Stegostoma tigrinum: one gene and its partners. The protein of the gene in region 1 purifies or fractionates together with the protein of each later gene. This does not show direct contact. Links are inferred from orthologs where the notes say so. Each region holds a gene or a part of one and is shown in the gene's direction. Other genes may lie near its edges.

Evidence for each region.
Region 2: the proteins of ncl (region 1) and hsf1 purify together in Homo sapiens (affinity purification with mass spectrometry; 3 studies listed by BioGRID, with this or other methods). This does not show direct contact. The link is inferred for Stegostoma tigrinum from reciprocal best matches to the Homo sapiens genes NCL and HSF1.
Region 3: the proteins of ncl (region 1) and ribosomal RNA processing protein 1 homolog A purify together in Homo sapiens (affinity purification with mass spectrometry; 3 studies listed by BioGRID and IntAct, with this or other methods). This does not show direct contact. The link is inferred for Stegostoma tigrinum from reciprocal best matches to the Homo sapiens genes NCL and RRP1B.
Region 4: the proteins of ncl (region 1) and rpl8 purify together in Homo sapiens (affinity purification with mass spectrometry; 3 studies listed by BioGRID and IntAct, with this or other methods). This does not show direct contact. The link is inferred for Stegostoma tigrinum from reciprocal best matches to the Homo sapiens genes NCL and RPL8.

What each region holds. Positions count from the first base shown.
Region 1 is NC_081367.1:43,733,131-43,741,294, reverse strand, and holds the start of ncl (nucleolin), read left to right. Parts: upstream 1-4,802; 5' UTR 4,803-4,900; coding exon 4,901-4,918; intron 4,919-6,195; coding exon 6,196-6,300; intron 6,301-7,170; coding exon 7,171-7,318; intron 7,319-8,164. UniProt on the Homo sapiens protein: Nucleolin is the major nucleolar protein of growing eukaryotic cells. It is found associated with intranucleolar chromatin and pre-ribosomal particles. It induces chromatin decondensation by binding to histone H1.
Region 2 is NC_081355.1:158,993,687-159,001,302, forward strand, and holds the start of hsf1 (heat shock factor protein 1), read left to right. Parts: upstream 1-4,593; 5' UTR 4,594-4,865; coding exon 4,866-4,961; intron 4,962-7,616. Other genes in the region: ribosome biogenesis protein bop1, read right to left, coding at 4,157-4,249. UniProt on the Homo sapiens protein: Functions as a stress-inducible and DNA-binding transcription factor that plays a central role in the transcriptional activation of the heat shock response (HSR), leading to the expression of a large class of molecular chaperones, heat shock proteins (HSPs), that protect cells from cellular insult damage.
Region 3 is NC_081365.1:1,311,815-1,320,046, forward strand, and holds the start of ribosomal RNA processing protein 1 homolog A, read left to right. Parts: upstream 1-4,892; 5' UTR 4,893-4,905; coding exon 4,906-5,026; intron 5,027-6,173; coding exon 6,174-6,256; intron 6,257-7,828; coding exon 7,829-7,886; intron 7,887-8,232. UniProt on the Homo sapiens protein: Positively regulates DNA damage-induced apoptosis by acting as a transcriptional coactivator of proapoptotic target genes of the transcriptional activator E2F1.
Region 4 is NC_081365.1:43,926,861-43,934,708, forward strand, and holds the start of rpl8 (large ribosomal subunit protein uL2), read left to right. Parts: upstream 1-4,460; 5' UTR 4,461-4,468; coding exon 4,469-4,606; intron 4,607-5,010; coding exon 5,011-5,152; intron 5,153-7,848. UniProt on the Homo sapiens protein: Component of the large ribosomal subunit. The ribosome is a large ribonucleoprotein complex responsible for the synthesis of proteins in the cell.

The sequences.
Region 1 (8,164 bases):
TTGCCGGCCCTGTTTTTCAAGAGGAGCATCACATTGGCAGTTTTCCAAAACCCTTTTTTTCCAAAACAAAAAACAGCTTTTGTTGCAGAATATACAGCAATCAAGAAGTCACTTTATTAAGTGTGTTAGTTTGTCTATTAATAGCTGAAATTGAATTTACACTGTTCAGGTTTGTTTATGCAGCAGAGCAAATCCAATTTGAAGATATAATGCTCACAAAACTACACCTTTGGGCTTGGAAAGTTCTGCAACTTTTACAATCAACTCCAAAACAATATAATTGTATAAATTCTAAACCTGACTTCATCAGCATAGAACAACCATCCCAATTGATGGAATACATTTCATATTCTATACCAGCTGAATGCCTGTCTTTTAAAGAAAAAGGTCCACATTGATGCCATTGCTTCTCAATTCTGTTCCAATTAAGTTATTACACCCGGTTCACAACAAACAACTGCACCTCCCAGTTGTGAACCATTTCAACTCCCACTCCCATTCCGCAGACGACATGTCCATCCTGGGCCTCCTGCAGTGACATAATGAGGCCACCGAAGGTTGCAGGAACAGCAACTCATATTCCGCTTGGGAACCCTGCAGCCCAATGGTATCAATGTGGATTTCACCAGCTTCAAAATCTCCCCTCCCGCCACTGCATCCCAAAACGAGCCCAGCTCATCCCTGCCTGTCTAACCTGTTCTTCCTCTCACCTATCCCTTCCTCCCACCTCAAGCCGCACCTCCATTTCCTACCTCATCCCGCCCCCTTGACCTGTCTGTCTTCCCCGGACTGACCTATCCCCTCCCTACCTCCCCACCCATCTTCTCGTCTGTCCATCTTCGGTCCACCTCACCCCCTCTCCCTACTTATGTCAGAATCCTCTCCCCATTCCCCTTTTCTGCTGAACGGTCTAGGCCCGAAACGTCAGCCTTTGTGCTCCTGAGATGCTGCTTGGCCTGCTGTGTTCATCCAGCTCCACATAAGTTATTAAAGCATTTGTTATCACTGTTCCCATTCCTACAGTAGTAGGAACATTTGTTATGCAATAATTGTTAATGTTTCTGTGTCAAAAAGTTTGACAGCAATTACATTTTTTCAAGAGATATCAATAGTGTGGAAGTGCTACACAGGACTATCAGAGATGCATGCCAGATGTTGTGATGATATAAAATATGGACAACTGATTATCAAATTCCAGCAATTTACTGTCAGCTTATATTTCAAGAGCTTTTTTGAAACAGCACACGATAGACTTTTGACTGCATAAATGAAACAAGCTGGAAGAAGTATTCTCTCTGCCTCTCAAGAAGAAAATTTCAATGACAACACCAACAGGAAAGAAACGTTAGAATCCAGACAACATAGAAGACACCTGCACATTCATTACCATTGATAGTCCTGACAATTTACCAAATGTGGTCTCAGGTTAAACTCTTATGCCACAAGGACATCCAAAGGATTGTAAGTGTATTTTTTTTGGAAACTATCCTTGAGAGGTAGAAATGTTGTATCTTACTTGTTTACAAGTTCTGCTGATAAGGCATTCTGCTAAATAACTGACATTCTTCACAAGGGAACCATTCGACAGGACATACCTTCTCCTTTTTCAGGATGATGTGAAGGTGCCAGCATTAGACTTGGGGGAACCAAGTCAGAAGTCACACGACACCAAGTTATAGTCCAACGGGTTTATTGAAAGCACAAACTTTCAGAGCGCTGCTTCATCAGGTGACTTCACATTCAGTTGCCAAATATACCTGTTGGACTATAACCTGGTATCATGTGACTTCTGAACTTTTCCAGCACGATCTCAAAGACATTACGTACTAGTAATGCTTGAGACCTGTGGTGTAATATCTTCCACACAAGTTTCCCCACAAGGCACAGTCTAGCTATCTGGAGTGGCATTGTGATTAGACATATCCTTAGCATCGCAACAAACAGTAGATTGCTAGCACAGTGACTTTTGGGGTTTGCCTACAGAAAATCCATGCACATCACGCAACTATAACTGTAATATTGGGTAAATTTTTCCTGCTTTTTTTTGGAAGTTTGTATATCATAACCCAAATATAGCATCTATTTTCAAAGTCTAAGTAAAACAGAAGATGGCTTGGGCAATCATCACAGCTTAGGAACAAGGATTGGGCCAGGTCTATGCCACGTACAGCAACACGAATCATCTAGCACCCAATGACCAGGTTCTTAATTGAAATGAAGAGGAAGCATCACTCCCCCATGTCCACTTTTTAATCTCACCTTGGCTACTTACTCCAAGTTTAGTGTCCAGGCCTCCTCCAAACTATAACCGCAGCACTTTCAGTTTTATATGATCAGATTGTGAAGGAGACAAAGGATAGGTCAGTCATTATCCCCACCAAAAAAGTCACCTTTTTGACTCATTTCATCTTGGCTCACAAGGCCCATTTGAACTAGTTATAGATGCTAATTAATCCGACAGCAGATCCAAGCAGAAGATGCTGATGTCACTCATGGAAAGGGAAGTTTTGACTGGGGCACCTTCATTATCTGGGATACATTTGTTCCAAAAATAAACTTTATTCATAACATTTGCAAAATTACAATGCAAATTATTTCAACTTGAACATTACAGAATTTGCAATAAAATTCAACTTGACCCCATACATCATTGTTCCAATCAATCCAATTGCAGACATCTAATTTAAGAAACACATTTCATGTCAGCTCTTGAGGCATAGGGCAAAACATTTCAAATTGCAAATTACAAGTAAAATAGAGATAACATTTTTCTCTGTACATTACTTCCTATTTGAAGGTGCCTCGATATATGTTCAATTCTTTTGATTTGTAGTGTGCGTTCTAAGTTACAAAGGTTGATGTGTTCTATGGTTTCCAGTCCCCTAATATGCTATGGCTGAAAGGCCTTTCATCACTGCAGATCTAGAATGGCTAAAGCTTGGTATAGCTTATTCCTCAGCATGCACTATAGTTCTGGACATTGGAATTTGCCATTCTGCAATACTCAGTCAAGGACAACTGGGAGACCAGCAAACTCCAGGGAGACTAAAGGGCATTTTTCATCAAGTTGATAGTCCTTAATGCAGTAGCTGTTTGTCTCATTGTGCTCAATAGTCTTGCACTTGTGGGTGCGCAGAGCTGCTTAAAATGAATCTTGACTGAAACAGTTACACCTATCTTCTCATTTCCATTGCAAAGGCACCGTCCTCAAGGTAACAGTCTCTTTCTCACCATAGTTATCTCAAGGGCAGAATGTAGACTGACAGACTTGGAGAATGTAGAAGGATCTCACAGGAAGGGCCTTTCTCAACACCAAACATGTTATCTGGGATATGTTTTATGCCCCAAAAATATACATATTCGTAGAATTTGCAAACAAAAACATTTTGACAAATATTACTAGACTTAGGAAAAAAAATCTAACATGCACAGATGTTAACAGTCTTCAATATTTAGCAAATACATCCCATTCAGACTGAGACAGCTCACTTCAAATTGCAAACTGTGCAATCAATTCAACATTCTCTGTACGTTATACTCTGAACTGCCTCACCACATATCTGACACTAACATTAAAACATAATCTTTGACGCACACAGCCCAAGACATTTCGATTCCAGCCTTCACTAAATCATGGCCGGTACCCAGTGAAAGAGGCATTGCTTTGTACAGCATAGAAGCAGACCCTTTGGTCCAATTCATCCAGGTCAATCAGACATCTTAAATTAATAAGTTCCAATTAACACTGAATCAGTTTTAACCCCTTGGACACTGCTTGGTCTGCTGTGTTCATCCATCTCTACACTTTGTTATCTCAGATTCTCCAGCAGCAGCAGTTCCTACTATCTTTAAATTAATCTAATCCCATTTGCCAGCATTTGGCCAATACCTTTCTAAACCTTTCCTATTCATGTAGCTATCCAGGTGCATGATAGGTTTAAAGTTGTGTAGTTGTACCAGCCTTTACTACTTCCTCTGGCAGATCATTTTGTACACAAACCATCCTCTATGTGGAAAAAGTTGCCCTTTAGGTTCCTAGTCATGTCTGCTATTTTCAGTATTACAGTGGTCTGTAGTTTTCCAGGTCTGTTTGGGACATGTATCAGCCATATGACATTCATAGTTTTATAAAGGGAAGTTGTGAACTTATAATACATCACGATAAAATTAGAATTGAGGGTGAAGAAACGAAAATAAACTATTTTACTCCAAATGAGTTCAACTTGTCGACGGCAAATAAGCTGTTGAGTTGAAAAGTGAAAAAAATTTAAACAAAAATACCGTTACACTCTCAAAAAGGTTGGTTTAATGTCATTCAAGCAATGCTTCAGCCTCCTACATCACTTTCACTCACCCTCCCCCCCCCCCCCCCCCGGCCAAAGCCATTTCACTTCAGCGAGTCAACACCGATTTCACTCTCATAATATCCCAACCGTACAAGAAACAGTAGACCCCAAATTAACCCTATCTTTCCACCCCCCCCCCGAAGCAAGCCCAATCAGAAAGCAGTTTTGAACAAACCACAGTTTATTCGATACTCAGGACGGCCATTTTAAAGTAGCCCAGCCATCATTTGGCCTTTTTGAGTAATACACGAGCTGCTGATTCGCCGCCTGGAACACTGATCAGCTCTGATTGGCTCGTCCACCCGACTATTGGGTCGTTCCTGGCCCGAGGTGGATGCTGTGGAGGGCCCCACCTCCAACGCATGAACCCAGGACACGATTGGTTAGCCTCTGCGGGCGGGGCTAGGTTCTGGAATTTCCGATTGGTGAGAACGCATCACGTGGGCGTGATGTCAGTCAAAGTGGTGACGTTCCGGGTGGCTTTCTCTTTTGCTGCGCAGCTCGCGGGGGGAACAGAGACACGTGGGATCGCTCCGTTCGCTTGTGTAGACAAGATGGTGAAACTCGCTAAGGTGAGTGAGTTATGTTGTGGGCCTATGTGTGCAATCTGCCTGGCTCTTTGTCGCCTTCGGCTGTAGACTCCCTGATCTGATGGCCGCGAATCGGGGCCCGAGTGAGACTTCCGTCGGGTCCCTGAGAGCTGGCAAGATCGAGGCCCCTGGACCGCGTGTTGGTCTCGGCCTATAACGTTCCTCTCTCCACCCCCCCCTCCCCCAACACGCTCACTCGTCGTGTCTACGCTCATGGCGCAGGCTGGAGGGAATTCAGGCGATTTGTTCCCATCCTCGCCCGAACCTATCTTTTTTCCCCACGGGCTTCGTGTTTGTTTTAAGTCGCTACCTTCGCCCGGGCCATCCGAGCTCCGGGCTCATCCACTCTATCTCCCGATTGGGGTCTTTGATAGTGCGTTGGGCTCGCACTCCGGGGTTCCTGTTCGCCCTGCACCCGCCTGCTACTTCGCGCGTCTCTGAGTCCCGCTGTATTACCGACGTTCATGTCTTAAATTTTTATTTTGCTGTTTAATTCAATTTCTATCGTCCACCTCCACATCCCTTCTCTTCCCCCCCCCCCCCCCCCCGAAAAAAGGTTGCGTCCTGCAAACGCGTCCGCCTTGTTCAGGCAAGTCCACGTTTTGGGAAACACGTGTATGACTTGAACCTGCATGTTGACCATTTTCGGGCGTTCTCCTGGTTGCTTTTGGTCGCTTGGAACTTGTTTCTCCATTGCTATTGAGCCATTCCTACATTTGAGTTCATTGCTGATTTTAAAAGAAACTCGCCCAAATGTGGTCGATCATTGTTCCCGGATTTTATAGGCATGCAAGCAAGAAAATCATTATTTAGACCCTTTTGTTTAGATTATGCCCAGAGGGGCAGTGAAATACTTCTGAAGTGTAATTGCTGTTATGTAAAACACCACTGATTGTTATGAGTAATGAAAACAAAAAAAATGAGCAGTGAATAGGTGTTTAAAGCTACATTTTAAATCTGTGTCAAATTGCTTGCTCTGATCCAAAAGAATTTGCTGGTGCTGGGAGTCTCAAGTAAAAAATGAATGCTGGAAATCCTTGGGTCTGAAAGCATCTAATATTTCATACCACAGGCCTCATTTTGAATTTGTTTAATTTTTAGTCATAGTTTAGTTGCTTTTGCATGAAAGTGGGAGCTCAGTAACTTCCCTAGTGTAATTGCACATTTGATGTAAATATTATGGGCCATTTGATTTTTCAGGGTAGAATTTATGCCCTCTGTATAGCATATGGAAAATCTAATTTAGTTTTATTCTTCAGGCAGGTAACAAGCAAGGAAAACCTAAAAAGGCTGCCCCTCCACCACCACCACCACCTGCTGAAGAGTTTGAAGAGTCCACTTCTGATGAGGAAAGTGAAGAGGAGGTAATTATTCCATTTCAGTCAAAAATCACAATGTATTAAGCCCATCAAGTCTCCAGGTGGATGATTCACTTAAAGCTATTCTTCTGTGTCTCCCTGAAACCTTGAACACACAGCCCAATTTTACTATGAAGAATCCTCAGTTAAACCTCCCTTCGGGTGCAGTGTGGCAATACACTTGAGACTTTTAATCCATTCAGGATGGAAACAGTTTCTATCTATTCTGCCTCATGATTTTGGAATGCCTTTTTCAAATCTTTTTTTCTCCAAGGTAGAGTCCCAACGTTTGTGACTAAGGTTTCTAGTACTTCTTACTGCATATGTGAATGTTTTCTTGCGTTTCTTCAATGCCTTCACATTTTAAAGTAGGGCATCCAGAATTAAATGCAATATTCCAGCAAAAGTTGTATTACTGCCTTGCGAAATTTCACTGTAGCCTGAGTACTCCATGACCCAATTAATTAAGCCTGCGCAATTGTACACTTTGTTAACTGCTTTCTGTTGTGGATCCTCAATGATTTGTATCTATATGCATCCAGTTCCCTCTGCTCCTTTAGACCTGTTCTCTTTGTTTTCTACCACATTCTTCCAACCAACATAAATTGCTTCATGTCTCTTAACATTGAACTTATCATCAAAAAAAACTGTCCTTTTAACAGTCGTTTTGAAGTTGTGGAGTTTGGTTTGTTGCAGTGCTTCCAAATTTGTTGTATCAAACTGAATCTTGGGATACTGATTTTCCCGAGTATGGAATGAAGTTAACCAAATTTTGCCATTTGTCTGCATTATATTATTTCTGACCAGATTTTTGGTATTGTTGAATGTATTAGTAAATGTAGTAATCACATTATATTTTAAATGACATTGATTTAGGAACTGCCAGCACCACCACCAATTAAGAAGGTTGCTAAGACCCCACAGTCTTCCAACAAAAAAAATGGTAAAGCTGTAAAGAAAGAGAGCAGCGAGGAGGAAGAGGAGGTGGAGGAGGAGGAAGATGATGAGGAGGAGGATGATTCTGGTAGGTGCTCAAAAGCCGCAGTATTTGTCATCTAATCTTGCCATCTTCAGGGCAGTAAAATGTTCCATGATACTTCAGCTGGGTTATCATTCTAAGGTTGACAGTGAGTCTTCCTATAAAATGATAGGGACCACCCCAATCGTCCATTCGGGTCATACTGAACGACTTCACCTTTAACTCCACTCAGTAGCTACAGGTCAGAGTTGTGGCTGTGTGCTCTCCAGGGATACCAGTTATGTCTATTTCTTCATGGGTTACGTGGAACATTACTTGTTCTGATGGTACTTGGTGTCTCCACCTACAAATCTTTCTCCAGTACAGGTAGTTCTCCTGTAATGCAGTAGTTGCGTTCTTGTATGACCTCACGCTATAGAAAATCGCTAAACCTGTACAGCAGAGAATTAGTGTTATCCAAACAGTGTCTATTATTCATCAATCATATTACAGCCAATTTGTGTAAACAAAACACACATTGTAGCAGAGCTAATGGAAACTGCAGATGCTGGAGATTCCGAGATAACAAAGTGTGAAGCTGGTTGAACGCCGCAGGCCAAGCAGCATCTTAGGAGCACAAAAGCTGACGTTTCAGGCCTGGGCTTAGACCCTTCATCAGAAAAAGCTTTTTCTTATGAACAGTCTAGGCCTGAAACGTCAGCTTTTTTGCTCCTTCCCCCTCCCAACTAAAATTGAGAAAATTTATCAATTTTGTTCCTAATTTCCATCCTGCTGTCACCTTCACCTGGTGTGTGTCTGACTCCTCTGTTACCTTCCAGGACATCTGTTTCCATATGTGGCCATAAGCTGGTTATTTATGTTCATTATGAAGGTATCAACTTGTACAGATAC
Region 2 (7,616 bases), on another chromosome or scaffold:
CAATAAATGATGGCCAGCCAGCGTGCCCACATTCCACCAAATGAATAAATCAAAAGGAAAAAAAATGTTCATGAGAGACAATTCAGATGAAGTTCACCAGGATAATCCCTAGTATGGAGGGATTGTCTTATGTGCAAAGGTTAAATAGGTTGGGACTCTACTCACTAGAGTTCAGAAGAATGAGAAGTAATCTCATTGAATCATATTGAATTCTTAAAGGGCCTTACAGGGTGAATACTAGGAGAATGTTTCCCCTCCTGGGAGCGTTTAGGGTCAGAGGGCATCACCCCAGAATAAAGGAGCACTAATTTAACACCGAGATGGGGAGGAACCTCTTCACTCAGAGTTAAAGATCTTTGGAAATTCTTGCAACTGAGAGTTGATGAGGGGAGAGCCCTAGTTTATATGCATGGCCAAAATAGATTTTTGATCAGTCGGAGCAATCTAGGATTACGGGGAAGGAGCAGAAAAACGGATATGATGAATTTTGGATCAGCTAGGATCCTAATCTGCAGTAGGCTTAACCGGCCAAATGGTCTAATCCTGTTTCTATTTCTCATACTCTTACAGAGTAGTGGGACTGGAGTAACTTCTCCTCTCTCAAGCAACAATATTGCACTTGAAACATCTCCAAGATGTTTGATTGAGGAGATGTTGTACTAACATATACAACCTTACCACGCAGCACATGTGTTGTGCCTATCACATGTCCCTGCCTTTATCCTTCAGCGACATAGATTATAAGACCATAAGACATAGGAGTGGAAGTAAGGCTATTCGGCCCATCAAGTCCACTCTTATAGGGAAAGGTAGGTCATGAAGGTTTCCTGCAACATCCAATGACCATATTTGAAGGCAATACCAGACAATCCCAGCATAAATGTGATAATGGGAACTACAGATGCTGGAGAATTCCAAGATAATAAAATGTGAGGCTGGATGAACACAGCAGGCCAAGCAGCATCTCAGGAGCACAAAAGCTGACGTTTCGGGCCTAGACCCTTCATCGGAGAGGGGGATGGGGAGAGGGAACTGGAATAAATAGGGAGAGAGAGGGAGACGGACCGAAGATGGAGAGTAAAGAAGATAGGTGGAGAGAGTATAGGTGGGGAGGTAGGGAAGGGGATAGGTCAGTCCAGGGAAGACGGACAGGTCAAGGAGGTGGGAATGAGGTTAGTAGGTAGATGGGGGTGCGGCTTGGGGTGGGAGGAAGGGATGGGTGAGAGGAAGAACCGGTTAGGGAGGCAGAGACAGGTTGGACTGGTTTTGGGATGCAGTGGGTGGGGGGGGAAGAGCTGGGCTGGTTGTGTGGTGCAGTGGGGGGAGGGGACGAACTGGGCTGGTTCATAAATCTTGGTTTGACAAGCCTTAAGTTTTATTTCTGCAATTTGTTCACTGCAGTAATCATTCTATGAACATATTCATGAGAAGCAGCCAATGTACTTGTTAGAAAAGAACAACAATGCTTATTATGCACAAATAAAAAGGAAACAAAAATACCAACTATATCGTACTGGTCAAAGCCTCGCCATAAACCTTGAAATAAGAGTTCAAACCTTTTTCCCTCTACAATAATCTTAAGAGATACTCACGCTCGAGCAAAGGGTCCCCACTTCAAAATTCATTGTTCGTAGGGAACTATATGTTGATCAGGATCAAAAACAAAGTTGCTGGAAAAGCTCAGCAGGACTGGCAGCATCTGTGAAGGAGAAAACAGAGTTAATCTTTCGGGTCCGGTGACCCTTCCTCAGAATGTCACCAGGCGTGAGACATTAACTCTGTTTTTTCCTTCACAGATGCTGCCAGGCCTGCTGAGCTTTTCCAGCAACTTTGTTTTTGATCCTGATTTACAGCATCCGCAGTTCTTTTGGTTTTTAACTATATGTTGATCTTATATTCCACAAGACAACTGTTTTTCCACAATCTTAAGTGAAAGCTTTTCACTTTTTCACATTTTAAAAAGAAGACATACTCCATTAAAAAAAAACTCCAACCACTTTCCGCATACAAAAAAAAACTCCACTGAAAATAACTCTGGGTGAATAGATTTCTCATTTCAGTCTAAGACGTCTTTTGGACAAGCCGTCTATGGCCCTTCAGCCCACCATGTCCATGCCAGCCAACAAACACCAAACTACACTAATGCCCTTTACTTGCACTTGGTCCGTAGCTTACTGTGCCCCAGCATTTTAAGCATTAATCCAGATGCTTCTTAAATGTTGCATGAGGACCTGCCTCTACCAACCTTTCAGGCAGTGCATCCCACATTTCTGAGATAACAAGGTGTAGAGCTGGATGAACACAGCAGGCCAAGCAGTATCAGAGGAGCAGGAAGGCTGACGTTTCGGGTCTGGACCCTTCTTCACAAATGGGGGAGGGGAAGGGGATTCTGAAATAGAGAGGGGGGGAGGTGGATGAAAGATGGATAAAGGAGCAGATAGGTGGAGAGGAGGCAGATAGGTCAAGAAGGCAGGGATGGAGCGCGTAAAGGCGAGTGTTGGTAGGGGTTGGTCAGTCCAGGGAAGACGAACATTCCATATTTCTACCACTTTCTGGATAAAAGAATTTTCCTTCTAAACCACTCTCTCTGCATATCAAGCTATGCCTCTGGTCTTAAACACATCCTCTCTTACAAGGAAGGAAAAAAAGTCCTATCTTGTCACACCTCATAATTGAGACTCTATATTCCAGACAACATTTTAGGGAAACTGCTCTGCACCCTCACCAGTGCAATCCAGTCGTTCCAACAACGTGACGACCAGAACTGTAAACACTATTCCATTTGTGGCCCAATCAATGTTCATAAAGTTGTAACAAGACTTCCTTGCTCCTATATTCTGTGCCCCGACTAATGAAGGCAAGCATTTCATGTGCCTTCTTCACCTCTGTCTACCCGTATTGACACCTTCAGAGATACCTGGACGTGTATATAAAGGTCCCTTAGTTCCTCAGCAATCCCTTGGCGACTGACTACACATTGTGTATATCATTCCCATATTAGACCTTCCAAAATACATCACTTTGCACTTATCAGGATTTCATTCCATCTCCCACTGCTCTGCCCAATTTACCAGTTAATCAATATTAGACTATAGCCCGAGACCATTCTCCTCACTAACACCATCAGTTTTTATGTCATCTTCAAACTTACTAATTATACCCTTTTTTCCCCAAAGTTGGGGGCTCAATTACTCGGGGTCACAATTTCAAGGTGAGGGGAGAAAAGTTTAAGGGAGATATGCGTGGAAAGTTCATTACGCAGAAGGTGATGGGTGCCTGGAACGTGTTGCCAGCGGAGGTGGTAGAGGCAGGCTCGATAGTGTCATTAAGATGTACTTAGATAGATACATGAATGGGCAGGGAGCAGAGGGATACAGATTCTTGGAAAATAGGCAACAGGTTTAGGTAGAGGATCTGGATCAGTGCAGGCTTGGAGGGCTGAAGGGGCTGTTCCCGTCCTGTAATTTTCTTTGTTCTATAACAAACAGCAAGGGTCCCAGCACCTCCCTCTATGGTATACCACTGGTCACAGGCTTCCAATCACCAAAAAGCCGTCGAACATCACCCTTTGCTTCCTGTTTGTAAACCAATTTTGGATCCAATTTGCTAACTTGCCTTGAATCCCAAGAGCTATAACCTTTTGGACCAGCCTTCCATGTGGGACCATGTGTCCTAAACAGGCACCCGATAATAATTAAACTGCGATGCCTGGTTCTGGAATCACGCAATATTATTGTTCCTTCATCAAATGCTATCAAGCCAAAGGAGATGACAAAAAGCAGTGGAGCCCACAGTAAGAAGCCACATGTTGTACACCTTCACGGGAAGCAATTTTTAAATTACCAGAGTTCAGAGAGAACACGCATGATCCTTTGATCAAAATCTTGAACGACATTAAGGAGCACAGTCTCCTTGTGGTAAAGTGGACTGCAGCAGCAAGTCATCGAATAGGTTTACAAGAAGATAATAGGAGGGAGAGTAGAGAGAAAAAGGAGTGATTTGAAAACTGAATAGGAACTACGGTTTCATCCAGACCCACGTTGGAGGTTTCGAGAACAGCATTTCCGCCCGCCCTCGTTGCCTCGCTTCAAGCGAAAATTACTGACGCACCCAAAACACGAGTTAAAACACCCGCAAAAACAACAGTCAAACAGACCTGGTCCGTTTCATCGAGATCTGGAAGCGACCGCTTATTCCCTGCAGTTTTGCTCCTCCTGTCCCCGGCCACCGACATGCTCTCAGCCGCCATCTTACTGCAGGAGCCGCGCTGCGGGAAAGGTCAGAGGTTAAGTCAACGCATGACGTCACGAGGACACTGGACGGACGTAGCGTTCACGTTGAGGAGGCGGGTAGCGAGTGGAGGTGGGTGTGGGAATGGAAACGGTGATTGGCCCGTTAGCCTGAAGGTTAAAGGTTAAAGATGGATTTTCCACTTTTTTTAAACAAAACGGCCCTTACAAGGTCTAGCAGATAAGTGAGTGGGTTTGTTCTCGATGCGGCAAGGAGGGGAAAATGAAATTTTTCAAACGGTGAGGTAAATGAAGGCCGTGTTTTGCGTAATGGGTGGTTTGAGGGGGGGAGGGGCCCGGAAAGACTGCGTGAGGAAGATGGCGGCGGTTGCTGTGGAGTGTGCCGCTGCTGGATAAGGTGTCGTTTTGGAGATCGCATTTTGTTCAGGAGATTCCTCCGCCCCACTTCGTTCCCTTTCTCTCACTGAGCGGATTAGACCACCTTTCCCTTGCGGTCCAAGCCCGGGTCCTTGAATACTGAGGCCAGCCAGCGGCTTGTGTGCCTGCCCCAGTTTCTCCTCGGCTTAGGGGCCTGAGGTCCGCCGCCTGCACGGTCGGCCCCGGCCGCGTCTCCGGATGGACGCGCACGGCAGCAATGTGCCCGCATTCCTCACCAAACTATGGACTTTAATCGAGGATCCCGACACCAATGACCTGATCTGCTGGAGTGCGGTAAGTAAATCAGAGGCCCAGGAAGCCTTGAGCAAGGCCTCGTTCAAAGAAAACACACGCACAAGGGGGCGTGGGCTTTAAATAAACATAGTCTCTTAAATAGCTTGCTAAAAGGATGACATCCCAACGCCCTGTATCACTTTCTTAAGATTAAAAAGTGTATTATCTGACAAGTTACTTTATTAAGTCGATTTGTGGTTTGAAGTAATATTTAAAAACGCTAGATCATCATTATTTGTCAAAGTGACAGTTTTGTGGGCAAGGTTGTTTGTGTTTACGTTGTTTAAGAGTTGGCTTATTGAAACTATACTCCCATGCTTTAAATATTATTTACCACACTTCATTATGTCTGAATCCACTGCTGAGTGGTAGTGGCCTTTCTGAATTTTGCACTGATACTGTGTTGAATGGCCTACTCCAGTTCTCATCCTTGTTTCCTACTTGTGTAAGCAACTATAAACGTGCAAATAATCAAAGGTTAAATTCAGACAGTGTATTGCAGTGATAGATAGCACTGTAGTTTGCATTATTGCCTCAGCGCCAAGGACCCAGGTTCGATTCCACCCTTGAGTGACTGGAGTTTGTGCATTCTCCACGTGTCTGTATGGATGCTCTGGTTTCCTCCCACGGACCAAAGATATTTAAGCCAGGTGGATTGGCTATGCTAAAAGTTGCCCTGTTATGTCCAAAGATGTGCAGCTTAAGTGGGTTAAAACTCCCTGGTTAAAAACCCCATGTGGGATTACAGGGATAGGGTTGTGGGGTTGGGCCTGGGTGGGATGCTATTCAGAGTTGGTGCAGACTAAATGGCCACTTTCTGCACTATAGGGATTCTGTGATTCTAAGGCAGCAGTGCATTTTCAAAATGAACACAGCAGGCCAAGCAGCATCAGAGGAGCAGGAAGGCTGACGTTTTCAGTTTAGACCCTCTTTCTGAAGAAGGGTCCAGGCCCAAAATATCAGCCTTCCTGCTGCTCTGATGCTGCTTGGCCTGCTGTTTTCATCCAGCTCTACACCTTGTTATCTCAGATCCTCCAGCATCTGCAGTTCCTGCTATCTCTGAAACAATTTTAACCCCACTGCAAAGCCTCTTCTAAAGATGCCTACCCAGAAGGGTTGTTTTTTTCTGAAAAAAGGTCTCGGTCCGAAATGTCAGCCTTCCTGCTCCTCTGCTGTTTGGCCTGCTGTGTTCATCTGGCTCGACACCTTGTTATCTCAGATTCTCCAGCATCTGCAGTTCTGTGTTTTTTCAAAGATCTGTTTACCCTTGGAGCCCACATATTTGGCACACAGATGCTTTTCCATCACAAAATAATGCTGGACTTTGCTGCAAAAAGATGCTCACAACATTTTCAAGGGAATCAATACTGCCGTTTCCAGTGACGCCCATGGAATGATTTATGTAAAAGCCTGATGACCTTGCAATTCCTGATGGACATTGATTTCCTAAAGCCAGTCACCCATCCAGAAGGTGCAAGTCAGGAGTGTGATGGAGTACTCTCCACATCCCTGCACGTGTGCAGCTCTGACAACACTCAAACATAATACTGTCCAGGGCAAAGCAGCCTGCTTGATTGACGCTACATTCTCAAATGTCTACTCCCACCATCACCACTCAGTAATAGCAGTATGTATGATCTACCAGATGCAGTGCAGCAACTCATTAAGCCTCCTTGGAAGTACCTTCCAGACCCATGATCTCCACCACCTCAAAGGACAAGGGCAGCAGATAAATAAGAACTTGCCAGTTCCCTTCCCAAACACTTTTCCTTCACTGAGTCCAAATTTTGGAACTCCTTTCTTAAGTGTTGTGGATGTACCTGGTCCTCAAGGGCTTCATTGAGTCAAGAAAGCAACACTGTGCCACTTCTGAAGGGTCACTGACAAAGGTCAAAAATGTTGACTTTGCCAGCAACTCTCCTTGGAATCAACAAATGACAAAAAGCAATTAGATGCGGGTTGACTTTCTGCCTGAATTGACTCGCTATTTCCAAACTAGGTCATTAGCATCAAGGCAGGGTGTTTACAATTTATAACATTCCCAGAGAATTGGTAATCCTAGCGTGGTAAATGACTACTGCGGAGTCGAAGGAGGTTGACAAGCCAGTGCAACTTGACTTTCTTTTTTGTGTATGTGTATTGTGAACTAATCCAACCTTCTAAAGGTAATATTGAAGAATAATGTACACCTGCGTCAGTAAGGTAGACATTTAGCAGGATACCTGGCTGTTGGTGTCACTTTTTTTGTCATAGCCATAGAGATGTGCAACACAGAAACAGACCCATTGGTCCAACTCATCCATGCCATCCAGATATCCCGAATACATTCAGTCTCATTTGGCCTATTTCACTCTAAACCCTTCCTAATCATACACCAATCCAGATGTCTTTTTAAATGTTGTAATTGTGCCACTCTCCACCACTTCCTCTGGAAGCTCATTCCGTACAAGCCCCACCTTCTGCATGAAAAAGTTGCCCCTTGGGTTCCTTTGAAATCTTTCCACTCTCACCTTAAAGCTAGTTTTGGACTCTCCCACTCAAGGGAAAAGACTTTATCTACTTAGCCCTTCCATCCCCCCCTCATGATTTTATAACCTCTGTTAGGTCACCCCTCAGCCTCCAATTCTCCAGGAAATATAGTCCCAGTCTATTCAG
Region 3 (8,232 bases), on another chromosome or scaffold:
TTGACCTCATTGTATTTTTGGTCCAAACATGGACAAAAAGCTGAACTCCAGAGGGGAGGGGAAAGTAACTGCCCTTGACAATAAGGTTGTATTTTCCAAAAGTGTGGCATCAAGGGCTGAGCAAACCTCAGCAGGAATCAGAGAAACTCTCTATTGGTTGGAGTCATACCTGGCACATTGGAAAACAGTTGTGGTTGTTGGAGGTTAGTCATCTCAGCTCCAGGATGTCACACTGCCAGAATTTCTCAGGGTCGTATTTTTGGCCCAACTATCTTCAGATCTTCATCAACAACATTCCATCTGTCTGATGGTCAGAAGTGGGGATGTTGACCAATGACGATGTATTGTTTAATACCATCCTTGACTCCTTGGATGCTGAAGTAGTAAATGTCCAAATGCTGCAAGATGTGGACAATATTGAAGTTTGACCTGACAACTGGCAAAGTAACATTCACACCACACAAATGCTATCTCCAACAAGAGCGAATCCACCTGTTTTCCCTTGACATAAGGTCAAATTCCACTACAGCATATGGTGAAGTTTGAATTAAAATAAAACTAAATCTGAGAGAAAGAACTATCCTAATGCTGACCATCTAGTTACTTGCTGTCAATTATCTTAAAAACCCATCATTTTCACTCAAGTCCTTACAGGAAGGGAATTTGCCACCGTTACGTGTTCTGGCTTACATGTGACTCCAGGTCCACAGCAATTTAATCGACCCTTACTGAGATGGGCAACAAATGCTGGTCTTGGCAGTGACTCTGAATGAATAAAAAGGTAACCTCCTTCTTTGGCCAAACATTTGGGCATCTATCCGAAGAAGTTGGTCTGTCAGTGTTGTGGGCAAAGCCCTGGCACAGGTTACCAAGATTCATTGTGAAGATTACCAGTGTTAATGGGCAATGCAACAATGGTCATGGGCATTGGTAAGAACAACATAGTTAGGGAAAGGGTTGAAGATTTGCAGAATGAATGTAAGAAGTTAGGTAGGAAGTTAAGGTAAATAATTCTTTGAAGTTGGCATCACACATAAATAAGGTTGTTAAAAGCGTGTTTAGCAGGCTTGCCTTCATTGCTCAGACCTCTGAGTACAGAAGTTGAGACATTATGTTGAGGATGTAAAAAACCTTTGCTGAGGCCTTTTCTGGAGTACTATGTCCAGTTCTGGTCGCACTGTTGTAGGAAGGATATTATTAAGCTGGAGAGGATTCAGAAGAGATTAACCAAGATGTTGCCAGGAATGGAGGGTTTGGCTTATAAGGAGAAGCTGGAAAGTCTGTGACTTTTTTCACTGAAGTGTAGGAGGTTGAGGGGTGACCTTATAGAAGTTTATAGAATCACAATGGATATAGGTAAGGTGAATGGCGGGTGTCTTTTCCACAGGGCAGGGGATTTCAAGACTAGGAGACATATTTTTAAGGTGAGAGGCAGAAGATTTTAAAAAGATACAGATTTTTTTTACAGAGTGGTTCATGTGTGGAACGAACTCCCACAGGAAGTGGTGGATGCAGGTAGAATTCTGTTTAAAAAACATTTAGGTAAGTACATGACTAACATAGAAACATAGAAGATAGGATCAGGAGGAGGTCATTCGGCCCATCTAGCCTGCTTTGCCATTCTTCACGATCATGGCTGACCGTCCAACTCAAAAGCCTAATCCTGCTTTTTCCTCATAACCTTTGATCCCATTTGTCCCAAGCGGTATAGCTAGCTGCCTCTTGAATACATTCAATGTTTTGGCATCAACTACTTCCTGTGATTATGAATTCCACAGGCTCATCACTCTTTGGGTGAAGAAATGTCTCCTCACCCTCATCCAAAATGGTCTATCCGAAATCCTCATACTGTGTCCCTGGTTCTGGACACACCCACCATCGGGAACAACCTCCCTGCATCTACCCTGTCCAGTCCTGTTAGAATTTTATAAGTCTCTATGAGATCCCCCCTCATTTGTCTGAACTCTAGCGAAAACAATCCCAACCTAGTCAATCTCTCCTCATACTTCAGACCCACCATCCCCAGAATCAGAGATAATAGGAACTGCAGATGCTGGAGAAACCGAGATAACATGCCAGAGCCCGAAACATCAGCTTTCCTGCTCCTAAGATGTTGCTTGGCCTGCTGTGATCATCCAGCTCCACAACTTCTTAGCCCCAGAATCAGCCTGGTAAACCTTCACTGCACTCCCTCAAGAGCAAGAGCATTCTTCCTCAGAAAAGGATACCAAAACTGCACACAATATTCTCAGTGTGGTCTCACCATGGCCCTGTACAAGAAGTATTTGAAGGGTTATGGGCCAAGTGCAGGCAGGTGGTACTAGTTTAGGTTGGGATTACGGTCACTGCAGATCAGTTGGACCGAAGGGTCTGTTTTGATGCTGCATGACTCCATGACTAACAAGTTTGAGGCTTTCAAAAGTGAGATAGTGAGACTTCAGAGGCATTCTGCTCCAATTAGGGTGAAGAGCGAGGCTGGTAAGAGTAGGGAATAATAGATTAATAAAGATATTGACGCTCTGGTCAAAAATAAGTAGGTATATATTAGGTATAGACAACTGGGCTCAAGTGAAGAGTACAATGGGTGTAGAGGCATTCTTAAGTGGAAAATCAGGAGGGCAAAAAGGGAATATGAGATAGCCTTAGCAGGCAAGGTCAAATATAATCCAAGATAATAAAGTGCGGAGCTGGATGAACACAGCAGGCCAAGCAGCATCTCAGGAGCACAAAAGCTGACGTTTCGGGCCTAGACCCTTCATCAGATGAATCTGATGATCTGATGAAGGATCTAGGCCTGAACCGTCAGCTTTTGTGCTCCTGAGATGCTGCTTGGCCTGCTGTGTTCATCCAGCTCCGCACTTTATTATCTCAAATATAATCCAAAGTGATTCGACAAGTACATTAAGAGCAAAAGAGGAAGTTATGAGAGAATAGGACCTCTTAAAGATCAATGAGATCGCCTCTGTGTGGAATCTCAGGCGACAGGAGATTATTTCATGTCAATTTTTACTGAGGAGAAAGAAATGGAAGGAAGTCAATAAATACTGAGGAAATAAATATTGATGACCTGAAAACAGTCCACAATACAAAAGAAGAGGTAAAGGTCTTAAAAAACATATAGGTGGATGAATCTCTGGGGCCTGATCAAGTGTATCCCAGGACATTGTGGGAAGTTAGGGGAGAAACTGTGAGGCCCTATCAAAGACATTTGGTCATCTGCAGCCATGGATGTTGTGCCAGGGTGGGCTATGGTTTGCAGGTGCAGCAGGTAACTAAGATGATACATGGAATGTTGTCCTTCATTGTTAGAGGACTGGAGTTTAAAAACAGGGAGGTTATGCTGCAGCTGTTAAGGGTGTTGGCAAGGCTACGCCTGGAGGCATAGATAGAGTGGACACTCAGAGACTTTTTCCCAGGGTGGAAATGATTATTACGAGGGTGCATTATTTTAAGGTGATTGGAGGAAGGTATAGGGGAGATGTCAGAGGTAGGTTCTTCATACAGAGTGGTGGGTGTGTGGAATGCACTGCCGGCAGTGGTAGTGGAGTCAGATACTTTAGAGACTGTTAAGCGACTCTTGGATAGGCACATGGAGGGTTGTAAAATGTAGGATATGCAGGGTAGATTGATCTCAGTAGGATAATAGGTTAGCACCACATCATGGGCTAAAGGGCCTGTATTGTGCTGTACTCTTGTGTGTTGTGTTCTACGAAACCTGGTCAGCATAGGCTGGTTTGCTCGAAGGGTCTGTTTCCGTGCTGTATGACCATGGCTATTGACCAATATTACCATGGTCAATGGTGAAGGTAATCATGCTATAAAGTGTGTGTATTTTTATTTTTGCGTGTTTTCTTTCAATTGTGTCCTGAAAGCAGAAAGGACTGTTTTAAAACCATTATTTGAAAAGTTTACTGCATGCTTTGAAAAACAAGTCACATGAGCCTCATGGCAAGCATGCAGGAAACAGTGTTTGAAACAAGCAGCAATTGAAGTTTAGTTTGTGGTCAGACTGAAGCTGAGGGGTTGTCTACAAGGTGTTATATGGTTTATGGAACAAAAACACTGTTGTTGAAAAAGCTCAGAAGGTCTGGCAGCATCTGTGGAGGAGAAAACAGAGCTAACGTTTCGGGTTCAGTGACTTAACTCTGTTTTTCTCCTTCACAGTTGCTGAGCTTTTCCAGCAACTTTGTTTTTGTTCCTGATTTACAGCAATTGCAGTTCTTTTGGTTTATATGGTTTATGGCCTGGTGACCAATTATGGATAACAAAAGCCTGGTTTTGTCTCTGTATGTGACGGAGGGGTGTGTGTGTGTGTGTGTTTGTGGGGAGTGGGGGGGCGTTGTAAGGGAAGAACGTTTGTCACTGTTTAACTGCAAAGGGTCTATTCGCTGGTTATAAAGTCATTCTTGTTAATTACAGAAACCTGGGCAGTGCTTTCTATCGACTTTGATCTGGACAACAGGTAAGGTGGAAAATTTTATGTACTAATTTTAATATTTTTGTGATAACTTGGAAAATAGCAAGGCGCGATTTCCAGTGAGTTTGACACAGGAAAAAACTGCAGAGGCCCCGGGGTGGAAGGGAAGACAGGCGGAGGCTGGAGGAAAGGAGAAGTCACCGTTTCGGCTATTACCCTTCTTCAGGACTCAGCTGGATTTCCAGTGGGTGCTGACAGTGGACAGTAGTTGACGTTACCGCGGTCATTGTGCCCCTGATAGCTGGGCTAGCCGCTCCAGGCCCCAATCCGGCAAGAGTGGCCGAAGTCCCACCGCTGCTCACTGACGAGGGTCAACACAGAAGGCCCTGCGTGGTTCCCATGGTGACGCTGCGCGCTGACGTCAGGGGGCATCCACTGCGCAGGGGCGGCCCTCGGCCCTCCGCATTCCCAGCATTCCCTGTGCGGACATGGCGGCCGCCGCCGAGGTTCAGTTTGCCCAGCGGCTCGCCTCCAACGAGAAGCGCTTTCGGGATCGAGCCGTTCGTAAACTCCGCCGCTACCTGAGTGCCCGCTCGCAACGACTCTCAGGTAATAACAGCGGGGGGCTTCCGTCCCTCTGCCCCCGGAACGCACCGGGGGGCGCATGACATTCACACGTGGGTACCTGAGGGGTGGGCAGAGAGAGACAGTCAGATAGAGGAGCGCAGTTAGGCCATTCAGCCCATCGATTCTGCTGTACCGTCAGTCATGGCTGATATGTTATTCAATCCCATTCTCCTGCTTTTTCCCCATAACTAGTCATCCCCTTACTAATCAAGAACCTATCTATTTTTGTCCGAAGTACACTCTGTCACTTCAACACCAAAACCCCCTACTGTAATAAGTTCCACAGAGTCACCGCTTCTGGCTGAAGAAATTCTTCCTCATCTCAGTTCTAAAGGGTCGTCTCATCACTTTGGGCCAAGCCATTGGGTCCTAGTCTGTCCCACTAGTGGAAACATCTCTACATCTGCTCTCTTCAGGCCTGTCAATATTCAGGCAGGGTGGAAAAGAAGAGAGGGATAGGGCGGGGAGAGGGGATGGGTTAGGACAGATGATGTTGGACGACATGGGGATCCAATGGGAAGCGGAAGTCTGGTGACTCTGCTGTTGACTGATGAGTGCTGAAGAGGATCTGGGTTACCAGGTAAAGGGAGGTACAAGGGTTATAGGCGTCACTTTTGGAGAATGCCACCGGTGACTGTTGGGGCAGTGTAGATGTGGAAGGGCAATGAGAGGATGAGTTCAGTGAGCTGATTCTCTGTGGGTGTAGGTGTTAGTGGGCTCACAGTGAACAGAAGGAGGTGTCCACCAACTGATCCTGGATTAACCTGACAAAAGTAAGATTTGGAAAAGAACAAGAGGTGACTAAAGTTGTCAGGTTGCAGTAACAGCTGGTGATATGTGGAGCCAGGTGGAACTGAACAAGAAGCAATGGAAAAGACAATTTCTGAAAGAAGGATGACACTGAAGGAGGTTGCAGACTGGAGAGACAAGACTTCTCTACATCATGATAAGTATACTTACACTGGATGTGAAATAATATGCATCTCCTCAGAAGCTACCAGAAAAGTCGTCTTTTATTGCATGATGCTGTTTGACATGTGGTAATTGTATAGGCTATTGTCCATTGGTGTATGCATGATGCTGTAGTTTTCAGAACTCCAACAATTCATTCTATTTTATTTTTTATAAGGTGGTTTCAGTCAGGAAGAGTTACTGAAAATGTGGAAGGGCATTTTCTACTGCATGTGGATGCAGGACAAACCACTTTTACAGGTAAGTCATGATTATAGGAGGGCATCCCCAACAGCAGGTTGCAAAGGTTTTAGAGTAGATCTATAGCTTGGGTTGTGGGTGTTGAGGTTGCTTGGCTTGTTGAGCTGGTTCGTTGTTTTGCAAATGTTTTATTACCGTGCTTGGTAACATCCTCAGTGCAGCCTCCGATGAAGAGCCAATGTGTTTTCCTGTCTGGTTTTTAAACTTGGGTCCGTTGAGATGGATTGCATCACTTCCAGTTTTCCTTCGTAGTGGAATGTATATGGGGTCGAGTTTGACGTGTTTATTAATAGCATGCTTTGTGGAGTGCCAAGCTTCCAGGAATTCCCGTGCCTGTCTCTGCCTAGCCTGTCCCAGCATCTTGGTGTTGTCTCAGTCGAAGTTGTGGTTCTCCGTGTCCATGTGGATTGAGATGAGTGAGTATTCATCGTGTCTTTTTGTAGCCAGTTGGTGTTCTTGTTGTTAGTTTCCTTCCTGTTTGTCTGATGTAGAGTTTCTCACAGTCTCTGCGGGGGATTTTGTAGATGACATTGGCCCTGTCCATGGCAGGGAGTGGGTCCTTAGTTCAGGTGAGCAGTTGTTGTAGGGTTGTGCCACTCTGATGCCCAGCATTCGTAGGAGTCTTGTGGTGAGTTCCAACATGTTCCTGATGTAGGGTAGTGTGATGAATGTACGGTAGTGTGTAGAATCTTTCTGATGCTATTCGTGTAGTCATCTTCTTCTGACCCAGTTCTTTGGATATCTGTTATCCTTGAACACTTGGAAGAGGTATTCTTCTTCCTCTTGGCGTAGTTCTCTGTTGCTGCAGTGTGATCTTGCCCAAAAAATAGTATTCGCACGCAGCTTCATGTGTGCGCACTGGGATGGTTCCTGTTGAAGTTCATTACTTGATTTGTGTGTGTGGTTTTTCGGTGTACTTTTGTTAGCAAACCCTGATGGGACTGTGGATGGGGAGGTGATGCCTAGTGATATTCTTGCTGGACTGTTAACCCACAGCCCTGATAACGTTCTGGGGATCCAGGTTTGAATCCCACCATGGTAGATGGTGGAATTTGAATTCAGTAAATATCTGGAATGGAGAATCTAATGATGACCATGAATCCATTGTCGATTGTCAGAAAAACCCATTGGGTTTGCTAATGTTCCTTAGGTGCTGCAGGGTCTGACCTGGACTGTGTGCAGCAGGACTGTCAAGTGACAGACAGTGAGCTCTCTTTGACCTAACAAGCAGTTCTCCAGTGGCCATGTGTCTTTTTGTTGACGTTTTCTAACTACCTTAATATTGAGTCAAAAGTTCTTGATTTGAAGTTTGGCTTGTCTGCCTCACTCAGAAAATGAAGAGTCCCAGGTTGTAGGAAGCACAGAATGTGTTTGTGGGGGTGAGTGTTGCCACTGGCACACTGAAGCATTCATGTGATGTAACTCTGTGACAGGGTTGTTCAGTCTCCTTTCTGCAGGCAGTAAGTATGCATCTGCGCCCCCTTCATCTGGACAAGAGTTGATCACAAATTGAAAATTGGAGATCTAGGCTTGTGTGGTTCAACTGAATAAAATCTCTACTGTTTGTTACAGGAAGAACTGGCAAACACCATTTCCCAATTGATACACGCCTTCAAAAATCTGGATGCCAGTAAGTTTCTGCTGTTCTGACCATCAATATCTTGTTCCAGAGAGATACATTGTGAAGTCGTGGATAACATGGCTGGATTGTGTTGTGTTGGGCTTTTCCATCATTGAGGAGCCTCCTCCTCCAGTGAGTTGTATAATTGTCCACCACCATTCACAACTGGATGTGGCAGCACTGCAGAGCTTAGCTCTGACCCACTGGTTGTGGGATCACTTAGCTCTGTCTATCACTTGCTGCTTTCACTGTTTGCTGTGCAGGTAGCCCTGCTTGGTTGCTTTATGAAGTGTTTTTAGGTATGTCTGGTACTGCCGCTGGCATGCTGTCCGACATTCTGTTGAACCAGGGTTGA
Region 4 (7,848 bases), on another chromosome or scaffold:
ATTTGAATTTTTTGCAATATTCGTTCAGATCATTTATGAATAAAACATCCTTTGCAAAAAGAGGCTAACATATCAGCACTGCACTGATAGAAAAGAAAATCTTTAATTTCAATTTTTGAAAATAAAACATTCACTATGTTTGTCCTTGAAACTGGAAAGAAACTGTTGATTCTTTTTGGATAATGCAGCTCCTTACCATTAAGTGCAGGGCGCCTGTAAACTGGGAGTTCCCAGAAACCAAGAAGCTGATTAACAGACAAAGGCCACAGGCCCAGAGATAATGGGAACTGCAGATGCTGGAGATTCCAAGATAATAAAATGTGAGGCTGGATGAACACAGCAGGCCAAGCAGCATCTCAGGAGCACAAAAGCTGACGTTTCGGGCCTAGACCCTTCATCAGAGAGGGGGATGGGGGGAGGGAACTGGAATAAATAGGGAGAGAGGGGGAGGCGGGCCGAAGATGGAGAGTAAAGAAGATAGGTGGAGAGGGTGTAGGTGGGGAGGCAGGGAGGGGATAGGTCAGTCCAGGGAAGACGGACAGGTCAAGGAGGTGGGATGAGGTTAGTAGGTAGCTGGGGGTGCGGCTTGGGGTGGGAGGAAGGGATGGGTGAGAGGAAGAACCGGTTAGGGAGGCAGAGACAGGTTGGACTGGTTTTGGGATGCAGTGGGTGGGGGGGAAGAACTGGGCTGGTTGTGTGGTGCAGTGGGGGGAGGGGATGAACTGGGCTGGTTTAGGGATGCAGTAGGGGAAGGGGAGATTTTGAAACTGGTGAAGTCCACATTGATACCATATGGCTGCAGGGTTCCCAGGCGGAATATGAGTTGCTGTTCCTGCAACCTTCGGGTGGCATCATTGTGGCAGTGCAGGAGGCCCATGATGGACATGTCATCAAGAGAATGGGAGGGGGAGTGGAAATGGTTTGCGACTGGGAGGTGCAGTTGTTTGTTGCGAACTGAGCGGAGGTGTTCTGCAAAGCGGTCCCCAAGCCTCCGCTTGGTTTCCCCAATGTAGAGGAAGCCGCACCGGGTACAGTGGATGCAGTATACCACATTGGCAGATGTGCAGGTGAACCTCTGCTTAATGTGGAATGTCATCTTGGGGCCTGGGATGGGGGTGAGGGAGGAGGTGTGGGGACAAGTGTAGCATTTCCTGCGGTTGCAGGGGAAGGTGCCGGGTGTGGTGGGGTTGGAGGGCAGTGTGGAGCGAACAAGGGAGTCACGGAGAGAGTGGTCTCTCCGGAAAGCAGACAGGGGAGGGGATGGAAAAATGTCTTGGGTGGTGGGGTCGGATTGTAAATGGCGGAAGTGTCGGAGGATAATGCGTTGTATCCGGAGGTTGGTGGGGTGGTGTGTGAGAACGAGGGGGATCCTCTTTGGGCAGTTGTGGCGGGGGCGGGGTGTGAGAGATGTGTCGCGGGAAATGCGGGAGACGCGGTCAAGGGCGTTCTCAATCACCGTGGGGGGAAAGTTGCGGTCCTTAAAGAACTTGGACATCTGGGATGTGCGGGAGTGGAATGTCTTATCGTGGGAGCAGATGCGGCGGAGGCGGAGGAATTGGGAATAGGGGATGGAATTTTTGCAGGAGGGTGGGTGGGAGGAGGTGTATTCTAGGTAACTGTGGGAGTCGGTGGGCTTGAAATGGACATCAGTTACAAGCTGGTTGCCTGAGATGGAGACTGAGAGGTCCAGGAAGGTGAGGGATGTGCTGGAGATGGCCCAGGTGAACTGAAGGTTGGGGTGGAAGGTGTTGGTGAAGTAGATGAACTGTTCGAGCTCCTCTGGGGAGCAAGAGGCGGCGCCGATACAGTCATCAATGTACCGGAGGAAGAGGTGGGGTTTGGGGCCTGTGTAGGTGCGGAAGAGGGACTGTTCCACGTAACCTACAAAGAGGCAGGCATAGCTGGGGCCCATGCGGGTGCCCATGGCCACCCCCTAAGTCTAGGGCCACCCCCCTAAGGCCACAGGCCCAAAGGGAACAGAAGGAAAAAAAACTACAGTACCCATCATGCAATACCAAGTCACGCAAACAACTCCAGTTTAATTTTAAAATGTTTTTAATTTTGACGAATATCGTTCACAGTTTGCCTTCAAAAGAATCATCTTTTATTTTCAGCACATTATTTGTGGAGATATGTAATGTTACTGACAATGTCCACGGGTCCGGAAGAAGTAGTCGCGCGCTGGAGAGTGACTTCCTTTCGCCTGGATAGTGTTTGAGGTAAGGATGGTACGGTGGGGGGTAAATGGTGACAATCCGTGTCTAATCCCCTGTTCAAACAGCCATCCGGTTAATATTGTTCAACAAAGTTAATCAGCATCATGTCGGTGTTTCTGCTGAGAATGTATTTTATCGAATGTCCGGATATGTCGCAGTTTAAAATACATCTTTGATCGCGGGGCCTGTTTCCAGTAACATGGAGCCCCCGGGTATGAAGACGCTGTATTTATGGATAAGTAACAGCGTTAAAGGTTTTAATTTTTTCCTGACTCCCTGATTTGGTATATTTTGTACTAGCACGGATTTGTGGTTAGGTTATTGCCAGTGGAAGAACTGAGAATAAATTGAATTCAGACTTGTTTCGTAAAGAAGCTGACGAAGTTTAAGATCGTAAAACCATAAGATGTAGAATAAGGCCATTATTGCGGAACTTCCGTTAGTTTTTAGGTCTTTGCAATCTACAATCACACGTTGTTATTCTGCTGTTTGTTTTCTAAATACTGAGCTAGTATTTCTGTTTCCCGGGTCGTTTAGAAATGCCGTGAGTAGCTAAAAGCAAATAGTTCCTCCTAGTGAACTGGGAGAAGTCAAACGATGTCCTCTTGCAGCAGTGAGTGTGCCATGACCTGAGATTTAAATGTCCAGCAGCATAGAAAATAAGAACAGGAGTAGGCCGTTCAGTCTGCTCCACCCACCAACGTGATCATGGCTAGTCAGAGATAATGAGAACTGCTGATGCTGGAGAGTCCAGGATAACCAAGTGTGGAGCTGGATGAACACAGCAGGCCAAGTAGCATTTTAGGAGCAGATGCTGTTCGGCCTGCTGTGTTCATCTAGCTCCACACATTGTGATCATGGCTGGTCTCATTTGATCCCCTTTAGTGCTAAAAGCTGTATTTACATCATTCTCAAAAGTCTTCAATGTTTTGACCTCAACATCTTGCTGTGGCAGGTAATTCTGCAGGCTCACCATTCTCTGGGTGAAGAATTTGTATTCCCTCATCCAAGACCTAATCCTTAGATTATGACCCCAGATTCTGGACTCTCTGGTCATCAGGAACATCATTCCTGCATCCACCCTCTAATCTTTTAGAACTTTTGAAGATTTCTACGAGGTGTCTCCTGATCCTTCTGAATCCTAATGAAGGAGGTCTGGTCTCTCCCCATGTGTCAATCCTGTCATCACACAAGTTAGTCTGATATACCTTCTTTGCACTCCCTCGATAGCCAGAACATTCTTCCTCAGATAAGGAGACCAAACTGCGCACACTACTCCAGGTATGGTCTTAACAAAACATTCTTGCTCCTGTAGTTGAATCCTCTTGCCATGTAGATAAATGTAATTGTTGTCTTTGCCAGCTGCACTTGCATGATCACTTACAGTGCCATTTCTAAAAGACCCGGGAAAAAGAAATATGAGCTCAGTATTAAGAAAACAAGGAGCAGAATAACAACCTGTGATTGTAGATTTCAAAGACTTTAAAAACTAATAAGATATGCAATAATGGCCTGATTCTACATCTTAAGGTTTTATAATCATATAATTTCCTTCGCCAGCTTCTTTACAAAACAAGTGCCTTCTCTTCTCCAATTTCACTGCCATTCAGATGAAAATCTGCCTCTTTGTTTTTGCTATCAAAGTGGACAACTTCACATTGATACATATGATACTGCATCTGCCATATATTTACCCACTTACTAGTGTTATCCAAAGAACCAAACATTTTGACAGTTACTGTGAAAGGATAGGCATATGAGGTTGGAGTGCCAGCTAAGTGATAGATTGCTATGGGTATATCAAAAAATGTGTTGAGGGGACTACAGAATTTTGATGCCCGAGATGGTAAGTGACTGTCAGGTGTGTTTGGGGGTTCAGCTTAACATTGACGAGTAGTTGAACTAGGTTTTTATTCATCTAACTTTTCCTGGAGTAACCAACAGTAGAACTATATGAGTTTTCTGCCTCTGATAGATTCTTCTGGAGGGTCAGATGAATCATCAGAATCTTTAATTGTTTCCATGGAGTCTGGGATTCCATATGGTTCTCATTTGCACCTCTAATTTGTGCTGTTCCATCAGAATATCTGGGCCTTTTTTTTCTTATACCTGTAATTTTACATTTTACTGACTAATTAACTGAATGCAAAATTTCAGTAGTTCTGAAGTTTGTATACTATCCATGTTATTTTAACTTTTAGGATAGTTTTAGGACATATTTAGACTGGATTTTTGTATTTACAGGCTGCATAATGGGTCGTGTAATTAGAGGTCAGAGAAAGGGTGCAGGCTCTGTCTTCAAAGCTCATGTGAAACACAGGAAAGGTCCTGCAAAGTTGAGAGCTGTGGATTTTGCTGAACGTCATGGTTATATCAAGGGTATCGTGAAGGTAAGTTTTCATTTAAGAATGGAATTTTTTAAATATAGGAATTAAATAAATCACAGTAATACAGCACAGAAACAGACCCTTCAATCCAACTTGTCTACACTGATCAGATATCCTAAACGGAACTAGTCCCATTTCCCACCGTTTGACCCATATCTCTCTCAACTCCTCCTATTCGTGTACCCATCCTGGTGCCTTTTAAATGTTGTAGTTGTACCCACCTGTCCCCACTTCCTCTGGCACCTTCTTCCATACATGCATCGCCCTCCGTTTCCTTTTTAAATCTTTCCCTTCTCATGTTTAAGGATTAAACCATAAATTTTTCTCAAAAATCACAGCAGCTTAAATAGCTAAATTTATGACAGGACTGATTATAAAAGTAATTAGATTCCTGGTTTACTTTGCAGGATATAATTCATGACCCTGGTCGTGGTGCTCCTTTAGCAAAGGTGGTGTTCCGAGATCCTTACAGGTTCAAAAGGAGGACTGAGCTGTTCATTGCAGCAGAGGGTATTCACACCGGTCAGTTTATCTACTGTGGCAAGAAGGGTAAGATGTGTGAAATTATATAATTGGTTTTTTTGATATATATAAATATGAAATTTAGTGAATTTCTGTGGTCTTTTTAGGGATGGCAGCTGGTGCCTAGTGGGGTTCCACAGGGGTCAGTGTTGGGACCACAGCTATTCACGTTATACACTAGTGATCTGGGCAAAGGAATTGTTGCTCTGTTTGCAGATAACACAAGGTATGTGGAAGGACAGATAATGTTGCGAAGCAGGAAGGCTGCGGAAGGACTTGGGCATATAAGGCAAGTGGGCAAAGTGGTGCCAGATGGAATGCAGTTTGACAAAGTGAGGTTATAAATTTTAGCATGAAGAATAGAAGCAAAGACTATTTTCTAAATGGGGCAAGGCTTTTGGAAATCTAAGGTGCAAAGGGACCGAGCAGTCCTAGTTCAGGATTCTCGTCATGTTAACCTGCAGGTTCATTTGGCAGTAAGAAAGGCAAATGCAATGTTAGCATTCATTTCAAGATGGTTGGAATAGAGGCCAGATATATAGTCCCTCAGCAGTACAAGGCTCTGTGCAGACCGTGTTTGAAATATTGTGAGCAATTTTGGACCTCATCTAAGGAAAGATGTGTAGACGTTGGCAGGAGTCCAGTGTAGGTTTAGAATAATGATCTTGGGGATGAAGTACTTGTCATAGAAGGTTCATTCGAGGACTCTCTGGGTCTCTACTTGGAGTTTAGAAAGTTGAGGGGAGAATCTCAGAGGTGGACTGGGCAAGATGCTTCCACTCGGAGGAAGGACTCAGACCTGGGACGTAGACTCATGGTGAAAGGATGACCCTATAGAACTGAGATGGGGAGAAACTTCTTCAGCCAGGAAGTGATTTCTCTATGGAACTCGTTACTACAAGGGGCTTTGGAGGCGTAGACATTGAATGTATTTAAGACCGTTTCTTGATTACAAGGGGGATCAAGGGTTATGGGGAAGGGCAGGAGAATGGGGTTGAGAAGCAAATCAGCTATAATTGAATGGCAGAATAGACTTGCTTGGGTGAATCCTGATTTTGCTGTTATATTTTAAGGTCTTATTATGGTATTTGGTAAATAATTTAATCAAATAAACCAGTTAGGTTTTGTATTAACTCTGGTCTTATTTAGTTAGTTCCTGGAAAAGGTGACTATTGAAATAAAGTTATGACGGATCCAAGTTCCAAAACTGTGATAGAAGCTATTGTAAAACAGAGATTTTGGGATGATGATGTGATGGGGCAGCAACATACATTTCAGATCAGGAAGGCAAAGGAGGAATATGAGAGTTGTGGCAAATAAGGTAAACGATAATCCAAAACGATTCTACAAGTACGTTAAGAGCAAGAGAGCACCTACAGAGAGAATAGGGCTCCTTAAAAATCATAGGTCATGTTGAACCTCAGGAGATGGGAGAGACTAAATGAATATTTTCTCAGTTTTTAATGTGAGAAAGAAATGGAGGCTGGAGAACTCAGGGAAATATTCACAATTTGAAATTGGCTGACATTACATAAGAGGAACTGCTGGAGGTCTGAGAAAATTATAAAGTGGATAAATCTCCACGACCTGATCTTGTGTATGCCAAGATGTTGTGGAAAGTTAGGGGAGAAATTTTGGGGCCCCTTGCAGAAGTATTTGTACCATCTATAGCTATGGAAGAGGTGCCAGATGAGTGGAGAATGTCTGTCTGATGTTTTACCTTTGTTTAAAAAGGGACGTTTGGAGAAGTCTGAACCAAGCCTGTGAGTGTTACTTAAACAGTGGGTACATTGTTGGAGGTGACCCTGAAAGATAGCTGTCCGCATTGGGAAAGACCAGGAAAAGTTACGGATAGCATGGTTTTGTGAGGGGGGAAATTGTCTCTCACCAACTTGATTTTTTCGACAAAGTAACCAAGAAGATTCAGAGCAGTATAATAGACGTTGTTTATTGGGACTTAAGTAGAGCCTTTGACAAAGTTTTGATTGGTAGACCAATTAGTAAAAGATCACACTGGTTTCAGGCTGAGCTTGCCAGTTGGATACAAAATTGTCTTCACGGCAAGAGATAGAGAATGATGGTGGAAGATTATTTTTCAGACTGGACACCTGAGACTGGTGGTGTTCAACGGCTTAGTGTTGGATTCACTTTTGTTGATCATTTTATCTAAATGATCTTGATGAAACTGGCATAGTTAGTAAGTTTGTGGATGACACCAAAATTGGTGGTGTAGTGCCCACTGAAGAAGGTTATCCAAGATTATAAAGAAATCTTCATTCATTTGGGCTAAGGAGTGGTAGGTAGAGTTTCATTTGGATAAATATGAGATAATACATTTTAGGTAAAACAAGCAGGGACGGACTTAGTTGAAAGTGGAGCCTTGCTTAGTGATGTGGAACAGGGACTCTTGGGTTCAGGTACATAATTCTTTTGAAATTTGCAACATGTGTATATAGGATGGTTCAGGAGGTGTTTAGCATGCTTGCCTTCCTTGCTAGGACCTTTTTGGATTTAGGAGTTGGGATATTATGTTGAGGTTGTACCGGATGTTGCTGAGACCTGTTCTGGAGTAATGTGTCCAGTTCTGGTCACCCAGTTATAGGAAGGATGTTATGAAGTCAGAGAACATTCAAAAGACACTTGGCACGATGTTGCTGGGACTGGATGCTTTCATTTATAAGGAGAGGCTGGGACTTTTTTTTACATTGGAACTTAGAAGAGTT